Linked DNA regions of Canis lupus familiaris. The protein of the gene in region 3 interacts with the protein of the main gene of each other region in a pairwise test. Links are inferred from orthologs where the notes say so. Each region holds a gene or a part of one and is shown on either strand. Other genes may lie near its edges. The genes, in order: UBQLN2, WWP2 and RNF11.

Region 1 (3,754 bases), on a different chromosome or scaffold from region 3:
TCAAAAATAAGATACATTTTTTTCAAGGTACAGAAATGTAATTAGGATGGCTGGGAGCCCAGCAGCCTTTCAATGGCAGCATTGATGTCGCCTCCTGTTGCTATTAGAGCCTGCAAGTTTGCCTCACGGTTTAAGAACCCCATTGCGTTGAGCTGTTCCAGTTGTTGCTGAAATCTGACTTCTGGATTCGGCAGCTGTGGAGGACTTGCCCCAGCCAGAGCCTGCACCATTTGCTGAATGAACTGCTGGTTGGGTCCAGATTCTGATGTTGGGCTAGTGGTTTCGGTGGGTGTAGAGCTAGAAACAGTGGGCCCAGGGGGGCCTCCAGAGCCAGTAGAGCCAGGGCCTGCAGGGCCGGTGGGTCCTATGGGCCCAATGGGGCCTATGGGAGTAAATGGGACTATGGGGCCTATGGGGCCTATGGGTGTGACTGGGCCTACAGGGCCTATAGCGGTTCCCAGCACCCCTACCCCCACACCTGGAGTGAAGCTTGGAATGAGGCCAGGAGCTTCAGTGGCTAATGTCTGTAGCCCCTGCTGGATCTGCATTAAAGCCTGCATTGCTCTTGGGTTTGACATGGCTGATAGTGTGTCTGGATTCTGCATCTGCTGCAGGAAAGCTGGGAGCTGTGGACGCATCTGCTCCTGCAACTGAGGATTTGCAGTAAACACCGGGCTATTCAGCATCATCTGTGCAGCTAAATCTGGATTCTGGCTCAGCGACTGCATCATGCTTCTCATGTAGGGTGCAGACAGCATATTCTGGATCAGTTGAGGGTTTTCAGTTATCTGTTGCAGCAAGCTCTGCATTCCTGGGGTACTGAAGATGCTGGCAACATAGTTGGCTGCAGCCACGGTGTTCCCAGTAGCACTGCTGGAGCTACTGCCAGAGCCACTGCCACTGCTGGAGGTTGTGCTGGTGGTTGCAGAACTCTGGGTAGCCGGTGGTGGTGCCCATGGATTGGGTAGTGGATCTCGATTTTCTGTGCGGGAAGGTTGTGTACCTTCCCCAGAGGTGGAACTGCTTCCCACCGAGGCAAATGGATTACCCCCAAACTGCTCTTGTGCAGCATTCAGCATGGGTTCTTGAATATCAGTGTACATGCGTCGTAGAGCATTGTAGCCACCTGGGATGCTTTCAAGATTGCTGAGAGCCAAATCTTGATTTCTCATCATCTCTTGCATCATGGCTGGATTCCTGGCAATTTCCAGGGTCTGTCTCATTATATCTGGGTTGTTGAGCAGGTGACTGATTTCTGGATTTCTCTGAATCAACTGCTGCATCTGTGGATTGGCCATAATGAGCTGCCTCATTAGATCGGGATTTGAAAGCATGCTCTGAACAAAGGGATTTTCCATGATTTGAATCATCATCTCAGGGCTGGACAGGAGCTGCTGCTGCATCTGGTTCTGGAGCTCAGAGAAGTTGGTCGAGCTCAAGCCCAGGCTGCTAAGGCCTGCAAGTCCTCCTAAGCTCCCCAGCCCAAACGGGTTGCTATTTGTGGAAACAGATGTGGAGTTACTCCTGGGAGTCGACGCGGAGGTAGTATTAGTTCCCGCGGCATTACTAGGCTGTGTGGACTGGCCCTGAGGTCGGTTCTGGCTTTTAATTACAAGATGAACAGTCAGTCCATCATGGATGCCATGCTGAATCAAGGTATCTTGATCTTTTAAGATTTTTCCGGCAAAAATCAACACTAGCTGGTCGGTTTGGGATTTGAAGCGTTTTGAAATCGCTTCCTTAAACTGCTGGACTGAGCTATTCTCGGGCACCGCGAACTCCTCTTTCTCTTTGGGGGTCTTCACAGTAACTTTGATGATTTTGGGCTCGGCCGGGGCAGAGGCAGGGCCTTGGGCCGCGGCAGGGCCGCGGGAGGGGCGCGGGGGGCCGCTACTCTCGCCGTTCTCAGCCATGGCGGCCGCGGTGACGCAGGCAGACAGAGAAGGCGCGGGCGGGCGAGAAAGAGAGCGAGGGAAGAAGGAAGGAAGGAGGCGCCACCACAGCAGGCTGAGCCGGGCGGGGAGCGCAGAGCACGGTACCTCTGTGATGAGAACTGCGGTTTCCTGGTCCTCCGGTGGGGAGAAGACGCTGTAGGCCGCGGGAGAAGCGTCTGCGTTCAGGTCTCTGGGCCTCCTCCGACGCCGAGTGATCGCACCGCGCGCGCTCCCAGCAACTCCTGCAGCTGCTCTGCCCGCTCCTCCCCGCCCTGTCCCCTCCCCCAGTTCCGCGCTCGCCTCCCCGCCCCCTCTGCTGACGCGGCGCCAGGCCGAAAATGATAGATTCGACTCGTTCAAAATTAAAAACTTCTGTACTGGAAAAAATAAAGAGAGAGGGAGAGAGAGAAAAACAAAGACAGAAAGAAACAAAGAGAACAGAGAAGACAAAAGAGAGGGAAGGAGGAAGGGAGAGAGAAAAGGAGCTAGCTTCTGAGGACATTAAAAGACCCATGTAGAATATATTATATATAAAAATATATATAAAGTCTGTCAGGCAAGAAAGGATGAAAGCCTGAATCAAACTCACCCCATGTAAAAGACGAAAAATGAAAAAGAACTCTGACTAAGCAAAAGGAAAAGACTAACAGCCAGAGTGGGGGAAGGGGAGCAGACTGGGCCAGAGCATGCATTTTACAAAAGAAACCCAAATGGCCAATGAGCATAAAAATGGATGCTTAAGCTTACTAGTAATCAAAGAAATTCAATTAAGATAGTGAGATTCTACTTCTGCTTTATCATATTGGAAAAAGGAAAATAATGATAAACCTTATCATCAGTGAGCTGAGAAAATGCACTCTTATCAGTTGAAGTGTAAATTGTTATAAGTGTAAGGCAATTTGAAAATATGTATCAACATTTTAAATATTTCCATTTTTATTTAGAAATACCTTCTTTAGACACTTCTATGAAAGTAGATAAGGATGCAAAAATATATATGTATAAGATGTATATGCACTGCAGCATCTTAAAATTATTTTTAAAGATAATCAGGGATGCCTGGGTGGCTCAGCAGTTGAGCGTTTGCCTTTGACTCAGGGCTTGAGGTGCCAGTATCGAGTCCCCTGTCGGGATCCCTGCAAGGAGCCTGCTTCTCTCTGCCTGTGTCTCTCCTCTCTCTCTCTCTCTGTCTCTCATGAATAAATAAATAAAATCTTTAAAAAATAAAAAAATAAAGATAATCAGTGTGCTTACACAGGGTTGATAAAATATATTATGATATTACCACATAATAAAATACTTTGTGTAAAAAATCGGTGATTAATTCACCTGATATAAAGTATAAAGATATGCATTAAATAGGGATCCCTGGGTAGCTCAGCAATTGAGTATCTGCCTTCTGCTAAGGGCATGATCCCAGGGTCCTAGGATCAAGTTCTGCATTGGGTTCCTTACAGGGAGCCTGCTTCTCCCTCTGCCTATGTCTCTGCCTCTCTCTGTGTCTCTCATGAATAAATTAAAAAATAAAATCTTTTTAAAAAATGAAATAAATAGTAGTTATAGGGAAATAGCAGTATTTTCACTTTCAGCTTTGTATATTTCTGGATAGTTAGAAATTATTCAAGGATATGTTTCAATACCAAAAGACCAAAAGATACAATAAATATATTTTTATTTAAAACTATTTTTAAACAGTTTGTATAGGTAAATTCTCTTTAAGTGTGTATGCACTGATATATTAATTGTGGATATTACTTAGTGCTGAAATTATGCTTTCATTTTAAAAATAAAATTTAAATTTTTCTGATAACTTTTAAAAA
Region 2 (3,154 bases), on a different chromosome or scaffold from region 3:
GTAAAAAAACAAAAACAAAAACAAAAAAACAGCTTTGAAGTGGGGCCATGAATTTATCTAATAAACTCCAGGGAGGAACCACTCTGAACATCTCTGCCTTCCCCTGAGAAGAGGCACAATCAGGACAAGGCTTGGCAAACGTCATTTCCATGTCCTGTGCATCAAGACACCATAGCATGGTGATCCATCCCATCTGAATCCTTAAGTGTTCAAAAAAAGTGGGTGGCAAGACCTTATGTGATGATTTAGCTTGAGATCATAGCATCCCTCTATCATCATGGGACTCAGTAAATGTTTCTCCAATGAACGACTGCCTAGACACTGTCCCCAGGAGCTGGCTTCCAAAACCCACCCAACCTGCAGCCACAGCTGTTCGTATTCTGGCTCCGCAGCGACAACTGTTCATAGACATAGAAAGACTGGCCTGGCGTCCAAAGGGTGCAGTGAGGAAACCCTGACCAAGAGCCACCCCAGAGATCCCTGCACAGGGACTCAGCCAGCCAGAAGTAATATGACTGTCTCAGTTACACATTCCTAAAAGCAGCAAGTCACGGAACTTCCACCCCAATGGGGGCCTGCCTGAAGGGTTTGGGGCACCCAGAGGCCTCTCATCTGAGGACAGCGATTTTGCAGACATCCACGCCAACACCACCCACAGCTGCTGATTGTTTATTGCACGAGAAACTGGCAATACCAAGGCAAGGGGGTTAAGTATCACAAAACCATCTGTCAACCAACCCAGAGCTACCAAAGGACATTCTACACGACACCTCGGTTACATACATGTATGTACACACGCACACACACACATGAACACACTCTGAACAGCCATGAGTCGCGGGTTTCCAGACCCCACACAGCAGCTGGTACCCCAACCCCCCAGTAGTGTGGAATATTGCAGGGAAGCACAGCAAATGACTCGAGGAAAAGAAAAAAGGTTGAGCTCCAGTGAGCTGAGCCACTCAAATCAGCAAATGCAACACAGTGGACACAGGCTCTCCCTCCCTCTGTGGCCCGGGGGTGGGGGGGAGTGGGGGGAAGGAAGGACCAGGATCTGGGGATGTGACACTGCCCTACAGAGGTCAGTGGGCCTGCCTAGGGTCCTAGGAGGCTCAAGCTAGTCTGTCGTCGGTGCTCAGGGCTGGAGCCCGAGGGCCCAGACTGGAGAGCTTGAGCAACCCCTCCAGCATCCCAGAGGAGCATGTTCTGCTTGCCGATCGCCGCACGCCACGGAATGCCCATGTCGGAGGCTGGTGGGAACTCCGTTCTGCTGGTCTCCAAGACCGTCACCTTCCGTGTCCAGATAAAGCCGCCCTTCCAGGCAGGATGGACATGCCCTAGGGTGGCTGGGACACACTGAATTCTCAACAGGAGACTAACGGACCTGCCTGAAGCCTTAAGGGCCACTGGAGAGTGACAGAGTGACAGGGTCACCCACCCCCACATGCTCCATCACTTGGGGCTGCCTAGAAACTACATCTAGCAATGGGAGTTCTCCATCAAAGGTTGGGTGACACCTGGGACCCTCCCCCCCTCCCCTCTGTCAAGGCTTGGAGACTGGGCCACTGGGAGGCTGGGCTGCAGGGCAAGGCCCGCCTGAGCTCCCAGAACTGCTAAGCGGGTTCCTAAGAGGAGCAGCTGTTGGGGAAGTCCTTGGACCACTGGTGCCAGATCCCTCAAGGTCCCAGCGACACCTGGCATACCAGCTCCTGGACACAAAGGGATAGCAGCACACCGACATCAAAACACAAAGTCACCCTACACACAGAATGCTTCGAGTTGATGTGAAAGGGCAAAGAAAGTCTGAGGGGGTTTGTTGTTTCCAAGCCGCTGCCACCCTAGCAGCTGGTACAACACTTTATTTGCAGGAAAGGACAAAGGGTCCCGCACTGAGTGCAGAGATGGGCTTCACCGCTCAGCCTCGGGGGCTGGATCCCCCTGGGACAGGGAGTGGCCGCCCAGACCCAGTGCTCTCTCCGGGTGCGGGAAGACGTCCTCTCCCTCAGACCTCCATCGTATACAGATCACTGGAAAAGTTCTATCAAAAACAGAACGTCCTTGACTGGCAAAGACCCTGGGCCTTCTGGGCCCAGAAGAGCCAGCCTGAGTGGGTGGCCGGGCTCCCTGCTGCCTCACTAGCACACGAGAACCAGGCCTCCTGCAGCAGCCCTGGGCACAGGGCGCCCCCTCACATTCTCATGCTGCCTACGGCTGGTCTGGTCTCGGGGCGGAAGGGGGAAGAGCTGACTGCGAGGGTCAGGCCTCCAGACTCTGCAGTGGGTGACGGGACCAAAGGTGACATGGGGGCTTTATTCCAGACTGCCACCGGTGGGGGGGTGGGGGGAGGCAGACAGGCCTCCTGAGGTCAGGCTCTGCTACCACCAGCCTGAGGACAGTGTGGTCCCACGCACGGCTGCCACCTGGGGCGGTGGGGGGAGCCTCCCGGGAGCTCTGTGGCCACCGGCCTCCCCGGCAGGAAGAACTCATGACTACATGTGCGCCGGGGGGTGTGGGAAGGGGCAGCCTCAGTTACTCCTGTCCAAAGCCCTCAGTCTCCTCGATGGCGTACAGCAGCTTCTCTCGCAGCTGTTCATAGCTCTTGTACGGTGGGAGATCCAGACGGTTGAAACTGTTGAGAGAGGGAAGCAGGACAGTCAGCCCAGGGAGGTCAGGGCTCCCAGCCTGGCTGCCGTGCGGGGAGGGCTCAGAGTCATTCACGTGACTGTGGCTTGACCACAGTGCCAAGGGGCTAGAAGGCAGAGTGGAGCCCTTGAGGGCCCTGTTACGTGAGGCCTTAATGCTTCCTGTCCCTGGACCTCGGGTGGTCAGGAGGCAGGGCAGTAGGAGAAAGGGGGAGGCAGCCCTCTGTTTACCGGAACAGAAACGGTGGAATATTTAATAGCTGGGAAGGCCACGAGGGTGAGGGCGAGCAACTGCTGCCGCAACTCCCAAAAAGCCTCGGGGCGCCTCTTCTCCAACCCCAGGAGGTTGCCAGAGTCCCTGAGGCCGCCCCACCCGCCGGGCTCGTCGGGGCTGTGAGGTTCTGGCCACCTCCCAGAAACACCAAAACGCTCACCACGTGTGGCTCCGGGGCAGCCAGGTTTCCTTGCCAACCTTGTCGATGCAAAACTTCTGTGGTCCGTTGCTCCCTGTA
Region 3 (3,227 bases):
AACTTACCTTCTTCACTGCTTACCATTTCAGTCTCAGAAATCTAGGCAGGTCTGCTTTTGACTATTATTCCTTTGTAAAATATGTGCTTCCTTATGACCAGGCTTTGTGTGCAAAGAAAGTTAGCCCAATGCTCACCGTACTCTGTAAAATCATACGGGCTTATGTAGGGGACACCAACAGGAGGAAATCTTTTCCTGGTTTAAGACATTCTCTATAAAGAACACTCAGAATTGAAAAGGTTTTTGTGAACCGAAGTATTTCAACTAACTTCTAGGTTTACACTTAAGATTTCTTTTACTTTTTCCTGGTCAGGCTTTTCAGACATTTCAAATCCTATAGCCAACCTTGAATGCATCTTCCCTAAATCGAAATGTTGCACCTATTATTTGGCTTCAGAAAATCTGAAGCTATCAAGCTTCTAAATTTATGATTAGATGGTATTAAATGCCACATAAAAAATACTTCCCAAGTTTATAAACTTAGAGATTAAAATTATACACCATTTAAAAGAAAGGATTAGATAATTTGGGGAATATTCTTACGTAAACAACTCTAACTGTAGCCCTTTACAACTGTATTATAACTTTATTTAACTTAGTAAAAGCCAAAATTGATAGTTCTTAACATGGTGTATGGAAATCAAAATTAAAGAATACAAAGTACCTTAAAAATTTTTTTTCAGCTCAATTCTAGTTCCTTCACTATTACTGCCAAACTTCTGTGAAAGAAGCCTTGCAATAAAGACTAACAGCAACATTAGTTTTTAAAAGTTCACTTACCAATTTTAACAATCTAGAAAAAAGGAAAGTCAGACATGTATAAGTAGAAAACACAAGGATAAAAAAAGTAATATCTATGAAAATATTGCACAACTTCAGGTGTTTCCTCCAAATTTGCTTTATGTAATTGAGTGGATATAAATTAATGAACAAAAACTTAAGCAAGATACATGTAACAATTTAACAGAACCTGATAATCTAATTTTCAGTTTTTCTCAAATTCATCTTTAAGTCTTTCCATCATGGGGCTCATAAGAAAATTAACCAACATATGGATACTACAGTCTAGTGTCAAATCTTTAAGTATTTATGACATACTGAATTCCTCTACAATGCAATTTTGAAGAACCCTCAAGATACTTGTGTTTTGTATGTAGAAAAGTGTTAGAGTCAAATATTCAACTCAATATTAAATAAACATTTCTGATGTTAGATTGAGATTGCTTCTCCTTTTGCTAATGAATGATATACTTAGCTGTATAATATCACTGAGCTGAACAAATAAGTCACCTCTGAGTACATAAGGAAAAATAAACACATGCTAAATGGATAAAACATTACAAACTACATCTTTACTAAACCATCTATACCTCTAACACCTCTAACACTTCAGAAGCTTAGAGATTCAGAGTGTTCTTACATTAACTGCAAGAAAGATAAAGGAGAAATTCCCTCTTTGAGATCACAACTATGAAGTCATATGGTTATACAAATTCTGCGTTTGTGTGCAAAACATGAATACGTTTATCTTAATTCTCCCTGCTTAGACTTGTCAGCCAGCAGGACTTTTCCTTTCAAAGAAACAGACTGAGATGTGTTTTATATAACTTCAATAACCTCAGCACTACAATAATAAGAGATGCAGTATCCTTTTGCTATGGTTCAAGACAATAAGGGAAGGAGGTCGCAAGAAAGAATAAATCAAAACTGTTAGAACTGAGCAACTTTTCTCAGTTTCACCATGGTGCCACTTTCATTTTACATAAGCATGGTGGCATAATTCAAGCTCCATAAATCAGAAATCTTAATATTTAAAATTTACCTTGACTTTTAATTATTACCATATTAACAACCAAAGTAATTAGATAAAACACACAGGAAAGGGTAACAGTAAACCCCACTTTACTAGAGTTGGTTTCTTGACATTAACTCAGTGTTTATAGAAAAGGGATAGTGCATCTCAGTTTGCTTACAAGCTAGGAGATCACTTTGAATTCTGCATTTCCTAACTGCAAACAGATATAGCACTTATAACAGGTTATAAATAAACTGGTTTTCAAGCATAGAGCCAGCCCCAACGATAATAATACACTATTTAAAAAGACCTAAGGCAATGAATTCCATTTCCAATGGAAAAAAAGAACTGTGCAAACAAGCTTAAAACTACTTTTTTTTTGTGCCAGTGTTATAAAATGTAGCTTTTAATAAAACCTTGACCCAAATGCCAGCAACTTCAGAAAAGAATTTGGGTGGGGGGGAAAAAGAGAGTTATTTCATTTAGGAAAAACAACCACTATCTTTTTCCTAATCTTCAACACACACAATTTAAACATATACAGCTGCTGTAACACTTTACACAATTCCTATGTACTGGAGCATAACAAGATCTAAATACAATTATATTTTTAAACACTGGGTCAAGGCTTTACATAAAAATACCATCCTACTTTTCCCCCTAAGTTTCTAAAATATCACATATTTTTTTCCCCAACATCTGCAGCCATTCAGGAATTTTTAGGAAACTTTTGTGCATGATCTTAATTCCTAATCCCTGACTCTTTGGGCTCAGTGACAAAAGATCAAAACCACCAAAAAATGATGGTTCACTTGAAGTCAGACCAGAGACCCTGGCTCAATTAGTCTCGTAGGACGAAAGCAGTGCTGCATCAACTGGCTCCATGCAAGAGGGGCACGTGAAGGATCTCATCAACCAGTCATCTATACAGTCCAGGTGATAGATGTGCATGCACGGCAGAAATCGAATTGGGTCCCCATAAACAAAGTCCATCATACAGATAACACACCTGTTGGGGGTGAGGGAGAGAGAAATCAGAAAGCATTTTTTAGAGAAGTGATGTATCTAGAATACTCTTTAAAATCCCATTACAAAGACTGTTAATCCGAACAGATGAAAATGGCTTGCTTGTCATCCTACCAAAGCATGCAAACTGATTTTTCCTAATAAGCATTAATCCATCAGCAATCTCTCATTTTGATCCGCTGGAAATTCATGGGTTTGAGAGCTATCAACAGAGCAAAGAGAAATGGGCCACGTGGGGATCAGGTCCATTCCTAGAACTGCACTTGTAAAATAGCTACATATTATACAAGACACCCAAAGAATGTGATGCTTCAGGTAGGAAGCCATCAGATCAACTCTGTTTACATGAACTCAGTTTTTAATGTACACCCAGGAGTAAGACAGTTTTCATTTTAATAACTATGTA

The links.
Region 1: the proteins of RNF11 (region 3) and UBQLN2 interact in binary tests that used the Homo sapiens proteins (3 or more experiments, as listed by UniProt). The link is inferred for Canis lupus familiaris from reciprocal best matches to the Homo sapiens genes RNF11 and UBQLN2.
Region 2: the proteins of RNF11 (region 3) and WWP2 interact in binary tests that used the Homo sapiens proteins (3 or more experiments, as listed by UniProt). The link is inferred for Canis lupus familiaris from reciprocal best matches to the Homo sapiens genes RNF11 and WWP2.

The regions. Positions count from the first base shown.
Region 1 is NC_049260.1:48,015,294-48,019,047, reverse strand, and holds the start of UBQLN2 (ubiquilin-2), read right to left. Parts: upstream 2,203-3,754; 5' UTR 1,914-2,202; coding exon 42-1,913; 3' UTR 1-41. UniProt on the Homo sapiens protein: Plays an important role in the regulation of different protein degradation mechanisms and pathways including ubiquitin-proteasome system (UPS), autophagy and the endoplasmic reticulum-associated protein degradation (ERAD) pathway.
Region 2 is NC_049226.1:80,385,947-80,389,100, forward strand, and holds the end of WWP2 (NEDD4-like E3 ubiquitin-protein ligase WWP2), read right to left. Parts: intron 3,150-3,154; coding exon 3,077-3,149; intron 2,630-3,076; coding exon 2,530-2,629; 3' UTR 655-2,529; downstream 1-654. UniProt on the Homo sapiens protein: E3 ubiquitin-protein ligase which accepts ubiquitin from an E2 ubiquitin-conjugating enzyme in the form of a thioester and then directly transfers the ubiquitin to targeted substrates.
Region 3 is NC_049236.1:9,997,967-10,001,193, forward strand, and holds the end of RNF11 (RING finger protein 11), read right to left. Parts: intron 2,805-3,227; coding exon 2,633-2,804; 3' UTR 567-2,632; downstream 1-566. UniProt on the Homo sapiens protein: Essential component of a ubiquitin-editing protein complex, comprising also TNFAIP3, ITCH and TAX1BP1, that ensures the transient nature of inflammatory signaling pathways. Promotes the association of TNFAIP3 to RIPK1 after TNF stimulation.